Cricetulus griseus: one gene and its partners. The protein of the gene in region 1 interacts with the protein of each later gene in a pairwise test. Links are inferred from orthologs where the notes say so. Each region holds a gene or a part of one and is shown in the gene's direction. Other genes may lie near its edges.

Evidence for each region. The genes of interacting proteins can lie anywhere in the genome.
Region 2: the proteins of Disc1 (region 1) and Srgap2 interact in a two-hybrid assay, tested with the Homo sapiens proteins (2 studies listed by BioGRID and IntAct). The link is inferred for Cricetulus griseus from reciprocal best matches to the Homo sapiens genes DISC1 and SRGAP2.
Region 3: the proteins of Disc1 (region 1) and 14-3-3 protein epsilon interact in binary tests that used the Homo sapiens proteins (3 or more experiments, as listed by UniProt). The link is inferred for Cricetulus griseus from reciprocal best matches to the Homo sapiens genes DISC1 and YWHAE.

Annotation. Positions count from the first base shown.
Region 1 is NC_048596.1:201,838,679-201,844,729, forward strand, and holds the start of Disc1 (disrupted in schizophrenia 1 protein), read left to right. Parts: upstream 1-2,583; coding exon 2,584-3,588; intron 3,589-5,374; coding exon 5,375-5,444; intron 5,445-6,051. UniProt on the Homo sapiens protein: Involved in the regulation of multiple aspects of embryonic and adult neurogenesis. Required for neural progenitor proliferation in the ventrical/subventrical zone during embryonic brain development and in the adult dentate gyrus of the hippocampus.
Region 2 is NC_048598.1:57,758,866-57,763,414, forward strand, and holds part of Srgap2 (SLIT-ROBO Rho GTPase-activating protein 2), read left to right. Parts: intron 1-1,868; coding exon 1,869-2,193; intron 2,194-3,131; coding exon of another isoform or gene 3,132-3,221; exon of another isoform or gene 3,222-3,236; intron 3,237-4,549. UniProt on the Homo sapiens protein: Postsynaptic RAC1 GTPase activating protein (GAP) that plays a key role in neuronal morphogenesis and migration mainly during development of the cerebral cortex. Regulates excitatory and inhibitory synapse maturation and density in cortical pyramidal neurons.
Region 3 is NC_048600.1:89,211,931-89,217,288, forward strand, and holds part of 14-3-3 protein epsilon, read left to right. Parts: coding exon 1-3; intron 4-705; coding exon 706-912; intron 913-3,598; coding exon 3,599-3,735; intron 3,736-5,358. UniProt on the Homo sapiens protein: Adapter protein implicated in the regulation of a large spectrum of both general and specialized signaling pathways. Binds to a large number of partners, usually by recognition of a phosphoserine or phosphothreonine motif.

The DNA of each region.
Region 1 (6,051 bases):
TGCTGCCATGAATCTATGACCCTAGCAAGGCAGACACTTCTTTTTCTGGTCTTAACCTGTCTGTAGTAGGCCTGTGGCTCTCCAGACTTACATGACCCTGGCTGGAGCAGCTGAGGCTTATGGCCTCAGGACCCCAGGAGGGTGACACAGGCCAAGACCATACAACATTTGGAAAGTTATTCTCTACTTAGCACTGCCCTTTGAACAATATGAGAGTTACTGAAGTGATGGTATTTGGGTTACAAAATAATTAGAAGTCTTTTAACCCAGAAGACAATATAGCTTCCTGGGACTTATTGGTCACGATGTGAAATTGTCAGCATTTTCCGCTGGCCACTGCAGCCAGAACTCAGTGTTCTCTATAACTTGGATTCCTGGTTCTTTAGCAAATCTCTTGCCACTTTTACAGGGGGTTGGAGGGACAGATGTCCTTCTGGGGCTCCCTTTGTTCTCTCTTGTATTCTGTACCCCCGGTGGGTGCTCCAGGCTGGTGGGGCTCTGTTACTGTGGTAAGCATCATTCTGGGAGGTGACACACAGAAGGACAGCTAGGGTACCCGAATGACTAGACCCACATCAGCCACCTCAGGACTGTAATGGCCAAACATGCTGTCATGACCTAACAAGGAACAGAAATCTGTCTTTTGACTGCCTGTCACTGAAGTCATCATCCCAGTTTTGGGTTCACCAGAGAAAGGGTGAACTTTGAAGAAGACAAGGATCAGGACTGAGCCAGGCTTTGGGAGGTCATACCTGGGTCCGCAGTAGTTATCACCAACTTCTAATTATTATTCCAGGTATGTGTAAGACAGGGTCTTTCCTGGGGACCAGGAACTTGCCAATTAGGCTAGGCTGCTTGCATAGTGAACAGTAGGTATCCTCTTTCTCTCTACTTCCTCAGAGCTGTGGTTGCAGGTGTGTGCCACCACACTCAGCTTTGTGTGTGTATACGGTGTGGTATTTGTGAGTGTGGTGTATGTCCTTGTTAATGGGAATACATTTGTGTGTGTGTCCATGCCCATGAGATGTGGAGATTGAAGGGCAACATTAGATGTCTTTCCTCACCTTTAATTTTTAAAAATTGTGTTTTGATTTAGTCACTTTATGTGTATGAATGTATTTTCTGCATGTACTATATGTGCCACAGTAGTGCTTGGTGCTTGGGGAAGTCAGATGTGGGCATTGGATCCCCTGGAACTGGAGTTATGGATGGTTGTGAGCTGCCCTGTGGGTTCTGGGAACTGAATCCAGGTCCTCTGCAAGAGCAACAAGTGCTCTTGTGGAGTAGAAGCCCATCTACATCTTGAAGATGGTGGCCTTAGAAAACCTGCCCTTGGCATTTCTGTTGGCATAATGTGGGGCTGAACAAGCTTCTCTTCTAGTCCATTTCTTTGAAGTTGGTGCTAGCAAGGTTACTTGGCACCTAGTTGCTACCTTAACCACTGAGCCAGCTCTCCAGACACTCTATCTTTAATTTTTTGAGGCAGAGTTCATCACTGAACTTATAGCTCATCAATTTGGCTACACTGTCTGGTGAGTGAACTTCAGGAATCCTCCTGTCTCTGTCTTCTCAGCACTGGGATTGCAAGAATGTGCCATCATGCCTGGCATTTTTTTTTTAACCTGGGTTCTGGAGATTGAAGGTTCTGGAGATTCAGGTTCTCATGCTTGCACAGTGAATACTTTACCTGCTAAGCCATCTCCCCAGTCCTGTAACTAACATTTTTATCATATTTATATGTTTCAGGCCCTGTTCTAAACTGTTTATACTGATGCTTACAAGAACTTTTACAAGGAGTCCTTCTATACCCCCTTTACTGAGGAGGAAACTGAGGCACAGAGAAGTTGAATAGCTTGTAGAAGGTCACACAGTCATCAGGTGGTATAGTCAGGTTTGGACCAGACAGTGAGGTGGCAGCAGTTGTCACTGTTCCTATTTCTCCAGGATAGCTAGGTGAGGACTCATACAGGTTTAGTGTATGAGATGGAAGGATGGACGGCCTTTGTACCACAGTCAGCCATAAGGCCTCAGGAATGCATTGGGAAAGTAATGTCATGGATAGTTGGATAATGAAAATCCAAGTGTCTTTCAGTAGTGACTGGAATGAGTCACACGCTGATATTTTGGTATCAGGTTGCTCGCTTCCCAAGCCCTCTTCTGGATGGACAAGTGATACATCATTGGCTCTATGACAGTTGCTGGGGAACTACTAAGGCTGTGCCCCAAGATCTGTACTGACATGTTGTTAGACATACAGCAGGGCCTGCTTCTTTGCCAACCAAGGGCTGGGATGCTGTGCTGACCTGGGCATCAGCAGAGGGACACCAACTTTCTTTCTTTTAATTTTTAAAGACAGGGTATCATGTGGCTCAGGCTAGCTTTGAACTCCCTGTGTTTCTGAGGATGACCTTGAACTCCTGGTCTTTCTACCCTCATGTCCCAAGTACTGGTTTTATGGGTATGTTCCACCATGCCTGGCTAGGGGTCGTAAGAGTTTTCATGCTGTGCCTTTGACAGGTGTACTCACAGATGACTTGTATGTTTAGCATATCTGCCACATGCAGTTCCTACTAAGTCAGTAACATGTATTGTTTTCTCTTGTTCTCAGACAGTGGGCACGGCTCACCGCCTGGAGCAGCCCCTCAGAGGCAGAGGCTGACACGGAGACCAGGCTACATGAGAAGCACAGCCGGTCCGGGGATCGGGTTCCTCTCTCCAGCAGCGGGCATGCCATGCCAGACCTCGGCACGACTGGCAGGCCAGGAGTCCTACTACTCACAGACTAAGACTGGGCAGTGTGGCCTCAGCCCCAGCGGCCGCTGTCAGGTGGTGGGCAGCCCTTTGCTCAAGAGCTTGCTTGCCCCTGCTGTGGCCTCTGTGGGCCACTTGCACCCAGATCAGAGCTCTATGAGAGAAACACCAGTGCGCTTTGGGGTTCATTCCAGAAATGGCAACAAACTACTTGAGAGGCTGACCAGGCCATGTAGGCCTGGGGACAGTGGATGTAGACAAGACTTTTTATCTCCTGACAGCTCCAAGTCCCTGGCCCCTAGCCTTGATGTAGCCTTGAGTGAGGGCTCAAGGGGCCTGAAGACTGTGAAGCCTCTGCCATCACTAGAGTTGAATGGCCTTGCTGACATCCCAGTTCTTCCTGGCTCCCAAGACACCTTTACTTCCAGCTTTAGCTTCATCCGACTCTCCCTTGGTGCTGCTGGAGAACGTGGGGAAGCAGAAGGTTGCCTACCATCCCGAGAGGTCGAATCCCTTCATCAGAGCCCCCAAGAGATGGCAGCTGGAGCATCCAGTTCAGACAGGCCCCATGAGGACCCTCGACATCTCTGGACCTTCAGTCTTCAAGCCACTCCAGGTTTGGTGGACTTGGATCAGGTGACAGGGAGCAATAGCAAGCTGGAATGTGACATGGCCTCCTCCTCGGACACTGGCTTCTCTTCCCAGGATCTGTCTTCAGCCAGTGGGTGGGGCGACCAGGGCAGCAGCGGGGCGGATACCTGTGGATGGGATGCTTTGATCAGCAAATGGGAGCCGGTGCTACAGGACTATCTATTGAGCAACCGCAGGCAGCTGGAGGTGTGTGTCCTTCAGGAGACTGTTACTCCAACTCAGTGCTGGGTGGAGGCAGGGAGTGGGCAGCCGACTGAGCGCTGTTCCTGGAAGCTGCAGTGCCTCCTGGGGTGGCTGACTGAAAAGATGTGGCAGCACTTCTGTCTCCTCTGCATCTGAACATGGGTGCTATGCTCTCTGCTTTCCGTCTGTGTGGCTTAGGTGCTAGCATGTACTCACTGATGGGGCCCACACTTCTCCACAACCTTTGACCTGCAGTGCTGGTTGTTCAGCATAACTCTGCTTTTGAAATAGGACACTGGGGACTGGGAAGATGGCTCGGTGGGAAAAGGCACTTGCTGCAAAGCCTGTAACCTGAGTTTGATTCCCAGGACCCACATGGTGGAAGGGGAGAGCTGACTCCTGTAAATTGCCATCTCCCTTGGCCATGCAGTAAATAAATGTGATAAAATAAGACACTGGGAGGGTAAGGGGGCTGATCAGCTGAAGTTTGGAAAGAATGAAAGTGGGCCCCACCCTCCCCTGCTTTGCTTCACTTCCTCCTGGGCTGTGCGGATCGTCCTACAAAGAGATGGTTTTATTTTGGTGTGAGTGAGTGAGTGTGTGTGTGTGTGTGTGTGTGTGTGTGTGTGTGTGTGTGTGTATAGGCTGGAAAACAACTTTGAGTATCAACTTAACTTCCTGTCACTGTTGTGGAGTGCACTATTTAGGCCAGTGAACCTCAGAGATTCTCCTGCCTTCTTCCCCAGAGAGAGCTGGGATCACAAGCATGGGTCACTGTGTGTGTGTGTGTGTGTGTGTGTGAGTTCTGAGCATTGAACTCAGGTCCTTATACTTTCAAGGCAAGAACTTTACTGATCCATCCATCTCCCCAGCACCCAGCTTCAGTGTTTAGAAGTTGTTCTGCAAAGGAAGGCAGGCATGGCTGCTGGTGGCTCTCCACTTTCTTTTCCTTCCTTTCTTCTCCCCGTTCTATGCTTCCTGTGCTGGGGATAGAATTAGGTCCTTGTGCATGCTAGGTGCATACTACCTGAGCTACAAGTCCAGCCCAAGACAGAACCTTCCGCGTGGACCCTTCAAGCAGGGCTGCCCCCCATCCTGGGCTGGCTAGCTTGGAGACAGCTGTGGTCCATGCCCGCCTCCTCTTGGCTACTCTTTTAGTCCCCATGTTTACCTGATGGCTATGCTCTGAGGGTCAGAGCAGAGGTCATTTGGCCTGCGTCTGTGTTCCTTCTCTCCACAAAGCTCTTCATGCTGATAATGACATAGCATTGTGGTATTTGTGGCATTCTAAATCTTTCTGGGGATTTCATGCTAAATTAGGCTTTTTTGTTCAAGGAACTTTTTTTTTTTTTTTTTAAAGAAACACGCATTTGACATTGGAAAACTGTATATTTGTGTGTGTGTGTATTTTTTAAAAATAGTTTAAATAAAAGTTTACTTTAAAAATAGTTTCCCTTTTAAAAATGGTAATGCTTTTCAGGACTTATAGTTTTTACTACAATTTCTATTTATGTGCATGTGTGTGTCATGGTACTTTTGTAGAGGTCAGAGAACACTTGTGGAAGTCAGGTCTCCTTTACCACTGTGTGTGCCTTAGGGACCCAACTCAGGTTCTCAGGCTTGGCAGTAAGGGCCTTCACCCTGGAGCCATCTTGACAGCCCATCCTTGAAATAGTTTTTAGGTGCTCTAGATTTCACAAAACGAACTTACTGGAATTTATTTGTAATCTGTCTCTTATATGTAATTTCTTGCATGTAATTTGTTTCTCATGTTTCCCCTTCAACACAGGTCACTTCCTTAAGTTTAAAGCTTCAGAAACTTCAAGAAAAAGCGGTTGAGGATGGCGATTATGATAAAGGTGAGTTTGAATCTGTTTGTAGACAGTTTTGTCTTTCTCCTTGACATCTGCCTTCTCCACCCCAGGAGTGTGTGGTTGACTCCTCTGAGAGTCTTTGCTTTGGGACAGCTGCCTAGCCTGCCACCCTGTTGGTCTGTGGATTTCAAAAGCACTTTGGAGCATCAACCACTTGGTGGTAGGTTGAACTTTATTGACTGGCCAGAACAGGTGGAGGATCTGCTCTGTAGGAAGCATACTAATTCATCACCTGCCTGCCCATGACTTATGGCCCCATCAACTATACCAAATGGGCCCACATGGGGGCAGCAGGGGAGAAAAGAAGGTGCTGATTCTGTCCCTGGGATGCTGGTGATGGCATCTTCATGGGGTTTTCTGACTTCATGCTCTCCAGGACGAGATGTAGAAATGAGTTGCACTCAAGAGATGTCAGGCAGTGCCCAAAACACCCCTCATGGTCAAAAATATCCAAGAGAAGAAGGACAAGTTATAACACGGGGTCAGGAGAGAGTGGAGCTGGCCAGAGGCCAGTGAGAGTTGACCAGAAAGAGGGGTGTTGATCGGGCACAGGTGGAGGGAGAAGGGGAACTTTCGGGGGTGGAAGGTGCCT
Region 2 (4,549 bases), on another chromosome or scaffold:
GGTTGTTCCCTTGATCTCTTTGCTTGGTGGTATTAAGATTCTTACGATGAATTTCCTGGGGACAGACCATAACCAAACCATGTCAACATGGTCTACTCAAGCTTTCCCGGGCACCAGCCAATCAGTGCATGAGTGACAGCCCTAACATGCCTGGCTCTTAGGAGTGAGTCTGACTTCCCGCCTGCCTCCAGAACAGTGCTCCCATGAAACTTGAGTTTCCTGATTGCCTTGGAGAACTCTTTCCTCCTGGGCCCTCTCATTTGATTAACTCCTCCTCAGCCTCCAAGACTTACCTATTTGGGTAAACCTTCCTTACACCCTGAGTTCCTTGGGCTGAAAACAATGCCCTCATTCTGCATTCCAAAATGGCTTGAGTTGCTGGTACTTGGTGCTACGCCTGGTTCCTCCTCCAGGCTGAGCTCCTTGTAAATCAGCCTCTCTGTCTTCCTTGTCTTTATGCCCCAGATAGAGCCTGGGATGACACTACCACAGTCCCCTAAGTCTGCCTTCTCAGCAGTTCTGATCTGTGAGTCAGCCATCCTTGAGAGGAAAAGGGAAATCAGCAGCGTTCTTAGGTGTGGCATTTAGATTTAATTCCACATCCTATATTAACCATCTGCTTTGTGCCAAGCACCAGTGCTAGCTGTTCAGAGCTCACAGTCTGGCAAGGCACAAGACCATATGGAAGGTAACTGCAAAGCAGTTGTATGGAGGCACTGGAGAAACCTGGAAGGGAGGAATCTCTTCGGTCTGCAGTTGGAGGTACTAATGTCATGGAAAACTTGACAAAGGAGGGCTCATTTCAGCAGGGTCTTCCTAGACTAAAGAGCATCCTTTTTCTGGTTGAGAATGGCTGCCTTACAACGCTAGACCTGCCTAGCAGCCACATTCATAGAGAGGCTGCTGGGCCACATCCTACCAGACCCAGAAAGATAAAGCAGACCGAAGCTGTAAGCAGCACAAGAAATGACTTAGGCATTATCTATGCTTAAGAGATGGCCCCCAATCTGCAGTCCTACCATTACCATCCCGATCCCCAGCTCATCCCATCTTCCTCAGTAGAGTCGAGATCAGAGCTACACAGCTGCTATCTGAACTAGCAGCTTGATGGCATCTTAGATGAGGTCCTTTAAAGTCTGGTTCAGAAAAATAAAATTATTCAGCATCAGGCAATAACCCATATGGCTAGGATCCCACTACATCACATCATTTGAGAGCCTTTTGTGGTATGAAATGAATTGGCCCAGTGCTGGGTGACATAGGAGTTGTGTAGATGCCCTTTCTACCCTAAGATCAGGCACACAGTGAACCCTCTGTCTGTGCCACTGCAGTTCCTTGAAAAATCTCTTCCATGTCTATGAACAAGAAATAGCCTCTTGCCAGAGCCCAGATGATGACGGACTTGCTGTAGTATAGTTGAGCAAACTGAAATGTGGAAAAGTTAACTCCTATTGCTAGAAGTTCTCCCCCTCCTTGGTGATGGTGAGACTTTCCTCCTTGGTGATGGCGAGACTTTGTCACCTGGGGCTTGGGTTTCTGTTCATGCAGGCAATGGAGTGGGTCTTTTCATGAATCTTTCTCCCATTAGAAACTTTCTCTTGAACAGGCAATTTTTTTTCTGACAGCATCTTACATGGTTAGAACTCAAAGCTCACAACCACCAAGTAAGTATCCATTTCACCTCTGCCCAGGTTGGGGGTTGGAGGGAACAGAACCATAGAGAAAACAAGAGAAAGAAAAACTGAAGAGATAGAGTATTCTGTGTGACTTTCTTTAGATGTCCCAGGTGCCAGCCTCTGCCCCCTGTCACAATCCCAGCTCATTGGACCCAGGGCTTCCTGATCAGATGCCGTTTCTGTTTGTTGAAGGCAAAGGAAGCGTCCAGAATCTGGGAGCATCAGAAAAACATTTCGGAGTGACAGCCATGGGCTGGGCAGTTCTCTGACTGACTCCTCCTCCCCGGGGGTGGGGGCTAGCTGCCGTCCATCCTCTCAGCCCATCATGAGCCAGAATCTCCCCAAGGAAGGGCCTGATAAGTGTTCCATCAGCGGCCATGGGAGCCTCAACTCTATCAGCCGCCACTCATCCCTGAAGAACAGGCTGGACAGTCCACAGATCCGGAAGACTGCCACTGCGGGAAGGTCAAAAAGCTTCAATAACCATCGGCCCGTGGACCCTGAAGTCATTGCACAGGTAACTGAGGGGCCCTGGACAATAAGTAGTAAGTCTACACTCATCAGTTCCACTCAGAGCAGCCCCGGCTAATCAACAGAACTTAAAAGAGATCCCTGTACGTTCTATAGAGGATGCAGCAAGTATCATACATGTGAATCTGCCAAGACAGCTTACTGAGCAATCTGCCTACCCTTGTCTCCCCAGCAAAACCTGAAGGTAGAGTTAATAGAATTCTACCTTCTTATTTGTATTCTGGCTGTTTCCAAGGCTGTTAACTTTTAAAGCCAACAGCTAAATATTTTGATAAAAAAAGTCCATTAGTCCAAGTTTCATGTGTTAAGACACTAAGGTAGGGTCTGAGGAGATGGTTCAATACATAAGAGCGCTTGCTATGCGAGCAAGATGAACTGAATTCAAATCCGCAGCACCCACATAAAAGGCCTGTAACCCCAGTGTTGGGGATTAAGGGCAGGCAGAGTCCTAGGACTTGCTAGCCAGTCAGCCAGCCTAGCCAAAAGAACAAACTTCAAGTTCAGTGAGAGTCTCTGCCCCCAAAACAATAAGATAGAGAGTGATAGAGACAGATACCTGACATCTTCCTCTGGCCTCTGCACATAGAACACACACATGAGAAACTAGATGGATAGATAAGTAGATATGTAGGTAGGTAGGCAGGCAGACAGATGATAGAAACACAATAGTAGACTTTAGTGAAGCTAAGACTCCGTTCCTGACACTCCATTTCATAAAGCTGATCTCTGATACTTGTAGATAGCTAATTAGTCCACCATCGGATTCTGTCTTCAAAACCCCAAAGTATTCTTGTTGCTTGAAGCTCAGGTACTAGAAAGTTTCCAACCCAAAGTTGCAGGTACCAATGCAGATGAATCCCAGATTGCAGGACCTTGCTTTCCATCAGCACCACATTGATGATTCTGTTTTCCATGAAATATTAGAAACCCAACTCGACCTCTAAACATCCAACTACTGGGGCCACTCCAAGCAGTTCTCTCAGACGTCTCTCCCAGCTATATACTTTTCATTAGAACAGGTAGGAACTAAGGGATTGCTTTTGTCCTCTTCCTCACCTCAACTTCTGGGGTGATCAGGAAAGGGCAATAGAGGCTCTGTATGGTCCCCATTGGTTTCATTGGTGCTCTGCTTAAGGAGGTATACCTGGTACACCCAATATTGAGCCCTGGGCCTATAATGTCTTGCTTTGCTTACCCTCTATCCTGTTTAAGCTCCTGACAGCAATCTGCCTTGCACCATGGGAATCCTCCTTGATCCTCTTTTAGCCAGCCATTAACCAAAGTCTTAGAAACTGTGAACATACTAGTGGCCTTACAGGACAGAGCCAGGAGATAAGAATTCTTCCTGAGCATTCTAAAAGATTTAAGAAGCCCACAGGTGTAGCTCAGCAATGCAAGCTAAGAATGTTTGCCAATTGTGCATAGGCTACTGGGTTCCAGCCCTGGCATTGCAGGAGGGGGCAAGAAAGGCTAATAAATGCCATAGTGATGAATGAAAATGAGTCACTATCATCCATAGCAAGCTTCAGTCACACCATCAGACAGGAAGCCCTAAGTGGGAAACCTGGGGCTTACTTGAAACTTAGAATCTTTGAAAGTATTCTTGATCCCAAAGAGGAGTCCTGTGGTGGCTTTGGGATGCAGTATTAAACACAAGTTTGCCAGGAGGGTATGGAAGCTGAGCACTCTTACTGGATGCTTGCTTACAAAGGTTCTTTGGTTCTGCTTTGAGCCCTTGGACTAGGGTTGCCATTTCTCTAAAGTCTTCAGTATCTACTGGTTTGCAGATGCTAACTTACCTACGTGGGCTTTGGCTCCCCCTTTTGGCCACTCTTGGGTTCCCTTTCATGGTGCTGGGTAGAAGGAAGCTGTTTCAAGTTGCACACTTGGGTGAGTTGGGAAATTGAAGCATTGTCCTGATAAATCTTCAAGGACTTGGCTCTTGAACCTTCCTTAACTCTCGTGGAGGAAGGAATAACCCCCTTACCCACTGGCTTTGAAGTCAAGAAAATAAAGATCATACTTGATCTCTACTACTTTGTAAAATGTGTTCATTGATGTACACTTTCAAACATACACAGAAATGCAGAGAATTACACAATGAATCCCCGTGTACTCATGACCTTTACCCTCCATTTAATTATATGTCATTTCATCCAGAAATGTTTAAGCACCTGTTACTAAAACCAAGGACTCAAGTTGAAAATACTCAGCTACTCTTTCTTTTTTAATAATATTTTTAGTTGTTAAATTTAATACATTTATGATATATATATACATATATATATATGTATATATATATATACATATATATATATATATATATATGTATATATATATAT
Region 3 (5,358 bases), on another chromosome or scaffold:
AATGTAGGTTCTATACTAGAAGGGAAAAATGTGAGATTTAAAGTTAGCCTTAGAACCATAACTTTTTAAATGTAGGTTTTCAGCTTTTGACTTTAAACAGTTGAATATTGGAGGGTTAGTTCCCAAGACTTAAAGTTTTAATTAGTTGCAAATACAGTACTAATGAAGAATTGATATTGTTGCACTTTACAAAATACCTATCTTTTGGTTGTTCCCACCTCCACTCTATCAACTTTCTAAGTGCTAGGATTATATGGCACCACACCTTGCCTGGGTTTTTTCTTTTGGGATTCCTTCCTCTTTCAGCTAAAGCTGTGAAGTTCACAGTATAATCTTAACTGTCTGTGGAGAAATTACAAAGCTGGGTATAGCTCAGGAATAGGAGGGGCTCATTGTGCTCAGGGCTCTAGGTGTCTCGTCACTGTAGTGACAGCAGCAAATGTGTATTGTGATTAATGAATGTGTGTGTTGTTCTTTGGAAACACTTTTATACTAGTTACATGATTTTGCTTGAGTTATATTCTGTGAAAGTTTCCCAATAATTTTTAATATGAAATCATTAAGGAAAGAGATGAGTCAAGCTGATGGATTCTGAAGTTGTTTTTAAAAAATGTCTTAATTGTTAACTGTATTTTGTCATGTACTACACGTCATGCTCCAAGAAGTATTTTCTAATTGTGGTTTTTATTTGCTGTTGTGTTGTAGGAAAGGGGACTACCACAGGTATCTGGCTGAGTTTGCCACAGGAAATGACAGGAAGGAGGCCGCAGAGAACAGCCTCGTGGCTTACAAAGCTGCTAGTGACATTGCGATGACAGAACTTCCTCCAACGCACCCCATTCGTTTAGGTCTTGCTCTCAACTTTTCCGTATTCTACTATGAAATTCTTAATTCCCCTGACCGTGCCTGCAGGTAAGTTATGGAAGAACCAAGTTCCTAGTGTGGAGTGCAGAGGTTCTAGAGGAGCTACCTTCTGTTTTCTTGTAGGTTGTCACAGGGTTCTGTTGACTTAATTTGTATGTATTAGTCTTCATTTAGTCTTTGAGTTACTTATGACAGGGTTTTGGTAGCAGGTATCTTGCCTAGCTTATCTTTGAATGTTCAGTTCTCATGTCTCATTCTCCCAATTGTTAGGTATCATAGACATTTACCACCCCACTTCTCTGGGAATGCATTTAATACTCTTGGTGAACTTTTTTGTTGTGGTTGTATTTTGAGACAGTTTTCCTATGTAGCCTTGGTTGTCCTAGAACTTGATCTGTAGACCAGGCTGTCCTGGAACCTAAAGAGATTAACCTGCCTCTGCCTCTCAAGTGCTGGGATAAAAGGCGAGTGCCACCACCTCCTGACAAGAACTTTTTTTTTTTTTTTTTTTTTTTTAATTTTCTGCTGGGCATTGATGGTGCACGCCTCTAATCCCAACACTCAGGAGGCAGAGGAAGGTGGATCTCTGTGAGTACGAGGCCAGCCTGGTCTACAGAACGAGTTCCAGGACAACTTCCAAAGCTATACAGAGACACCCTGACTCGAAAAACAAAACAAAAAAACAAACAAAAATTCTGTTTAATACGAACAACTATATTATCAGTCTCAGTGGTGTTTATGAAACTGTTGCCACACGAAAATTTCTGCACTTTTTTTGGGGGTGTGTGTGTATGTGGGTCCATAGCATGGCAGATGAAAGTCTGAACAACTTACAATTAGGGACATCACATAGTTGTGAGCAAATTTCGGGTGCTGGAAATTGAACTTGGATCCCATGGAAGGGCAGTAAATGTACTTAACTGTTGAGATTTGTTTAAATGCAAATTAAGGATTGTTGTACTGGTAAACATGTATACTACAAAGAATTCATTGTAACCATTTTCATGTGTGTACTTGAGAGGAGTTTAATATGCTCACAATTTTTTATGACCTTTAGTACTAGCCATTTCATCACTTTCACCACTTGACCCAAACTAAGCTTTAGTAACTCCACTCCCCAGTCTCTTCTAACCTGAATTTGTTTGTTCTTGGCATCTTATATAAGTAGAATTGTATCTGTCCCTTTCTGTCTACTCTATTAATTTCTTGGTAACAGTATCTGTAGATCTTCTATCCTGGGGCAGTGACTTATGCCTGTAATCCCAGTCTTCAAGAGACTGAGGCAGGAGGATGGGTGCAGTTGAAGCCAGCCTAGGTTACAGTGTGAAACCCTGTCTCAATCTTCCTCTTCCAAAAGCTGGGTGTGAAGGTCCATCCCTGTGATTCCAGTGCTCTGAAGGTGGAGGCAGGACAACTAGGCATTCAAAGTCAGCTAGGGCTATAGGAGACACTGAATAAAACAAAACAATTTTTTTTCCTCTTCTTTTCCTTTAGGAGAGGGTAGTTGGGTTCTGAATTGTATCCATTGTAGGTATGTGCCACAATTGTGTCTTATCCAAAGACACTTGAACCTTTTTGGATTTTCTAGGCAGGGTTTCTCTGTGTAGCTTTGGCTGTCCTTAGAACTCAATCAGTACAGACAAAGCTGGCCTAGAACTCAAAGAGATCCTACTACCTCTGCCTTCCGAACGCTGGGATTAAAGGCTTGTGCCACCACTGCCTGGCAGGAAAATATCTTTGTCACAAATGTATTTTGGTGGAGGTTGGACTATATAGATTATTTTCAGTCTAGCCTATTTGTAATAGTTCATGTAATTAAAAATTAGTGCCTTGGGGCTAGAGAAATGGCTCAGTGTTAAAGAATATGTTCTTTTAGGGTACCTGAGTTTATTTCCAGCACCTGCATGAAGCAGCTCACAGATGCCTATGACTCCAGCTCCAGGGGATCTGTTGCTTCCAGCCTCATCTCTGACACCTGTTCTCTTGTACATATAAATACAAATACATATTATCAAAAATAGTAAATCTTGGCTGGGTGGTGGTGGTGCACACCTTTAATCCCAGCGTGAGGAGGCAGAGACAAGTGGATTTCTTGTGAGTTCGAGGCCAGCCTGATTTGTAGAGTGAGTTCCAGGACAGCCAGGGCAACACAGAGAAACCCTCTCTGGAAAAACTAACCTTTTTTTTTTTTTCTTAGCTGAGTGAGGTGGTCCATGCTTGTAATCATACCACCTAAAAGACTGAGGCAATTTATGTAGTTGCTTTGAGATAGTCTCACTGTGTCACTCCAGATGGCATGGAACTAGATCTTGTCTCCATGTACTGTTTGTTAGCTCTCTTTGCTAGGCTTGAAATTTCAAGGGTTTGTATAGGAAGATGTTTAAAATGCAACACGAGCATCTCTAGTGATGCCCAACTAGGTAGGGATGCTTGTTATCAAGCCTGATTAGCCTGAGTTCAGTCCTTGGGATCTATGTGATGGAGGGAGAGGCAGCTGTGACAGGTTGTCATCTGACCTTCAGGTGCATCCATACAAAATTCTACAAATACATCTTTAAAAAGTTTTTTTTTTTAATTAAAAGCAGGCTGAACAAAAATACAGTCTTACATGTTTTTATTCAAAGTTATCTTTCAGCATTTGTCTCTGTTACCTTTATAGCACTGGAGAACCGAGAAATAGCCCATTGTTCCTATCTTTATTGTTAATTGAATGCTGACGATGCATTTATTTCAGGTTGGCAAAAGCAGCTTTTGATGACGCAATTGCAGAACTGGACACGCTGAGTGAAGAAAGCTATAAGGACTCTACACTTATCATGCAGCTGCTACGTGATAACCTGACGCTCTGGACCTCAGACATGCAGGGTGATGGTGAGCAAGCTCAGATGTTTCTCTTTGGTGGTTGCCTCTTCTAAGAACTCTTGGTGTTTCTTAATCTTTGTGTAATTTTCAGTCATAGCCTGTCTGCAGTAGTTGAAGTTCATTCCTTCTGTAGGGAATGATGCCCAATTGTCATTTTGGCCCTTGATAGAAAGTAAAAGGCCTATTTGACAATTTCATTCCTGTGTAGAAATATAATGCAAATATTTAAAACTGTAAAAGTTTTGCCTTTAATAATGGGGTTTTTTTAGTACTCGTACTGCTTTAGTCGTTGTAGGGACAAAATGACAGGAAACCATTTCTTTTTTACTTTATTTTTTTTTTAAACTTACATTGTTTTGTCTTATGTGTTTTGACTATTTTTCCTACGTGTGTCTGTGTACTGCATGAATGTCCTCAGAGGCCAGAAGAAGGCAATGATGAATCTCCTAGAATAGGAGTTAACAGATGGTTTGTAAGCAGCCTCCATGTGGGTGCTGGGAATTGATCTTGGGTGCTTTAGAAGAGTAGGCAGTGCTCTTAACTACTGAGATCTCTCTCTATCCCCCATCATTCCTTTTACCTTTCCGAAATTCAACTGGGGGGGGTAGCAAAGGTTGTTTATGAAACTATCTGGTGTTAGTAGGCATTAATGAAATATCTCTTGTGTGTGGGGTCTCCAAACCTCAGACCTGTGTGTGCCAGGTACCTATTTCACCTCTTACTGTACCCTGGTCCCTGTGTAGAAATCTTTTTCTCTAAAAAGCGACTATTTTCCTCTAGGGTTCTACGAGAAATAAAATGATCTTCCTTAGGTCCATGCTTAAGAGTTCTGGTATTGTCTGGTCTTAGATTTTTATTTGCAAAATTACTGTTTTGGGGGAAGTAATTGCTGTTTGTGGGAATGCATGTATAAATTTTAACTTCAAATAGAAAAGTTGAAGTTTGTTGAATTTGTTGATTTTGTTTTTTAAAGGCGTGTGTGTGTGTGCCTGTGTGTAGGTAGTACAATCCAGACCCTTGTGCATGCTAAGCACATGTTCTAACACTTAGCTTTATCTTTTTTTGTTTCTTTGTTTTTTGTTATTGTTGTTGTTTTTTTTTTAGAGGCAGGGTTTTTTTGTGTAACATTAGATGTCCTAGAACTAGCTCTGTAGACCAGGCTGGCCTCGAACTCATAGCCATCTGCCTGCCTCTGCTTCCCAAGTGCTGGGGTTAAAGACCTGGGCCACCACTGCTTGGCCAGAGGTAGGTTTTATTTGGGATTGATGACAAAATTACTATTATTATGAGTTAGTTTTATATACTTGGTGTAGGGAATTGGCAACAAAGTTTTGTGTTTTTTTTTTAAATAAGATTAATTACTTATTAAACAATTATTTTATGTGTATGGGTGGGGTGTTTTGCCTGCATATATGTCTGTGTACCACATGTGTACCTGGTGCTTTCAGAGGCCAGAAGAGATATTGTCAGAACCCCAGGAACTGGAGTTACAGGTGTGAGCCATTATGTAGGTGCTGGGAATTAAACTTAGGTCCTCTGGAAGAGCAATCAGTGCTTTTAACTTCTTAGCCACTCCCCAGCCTCAAGATTTCTTAATTTTTTGTTTTGTTTTATGAGACAGGGTTTCTCTGT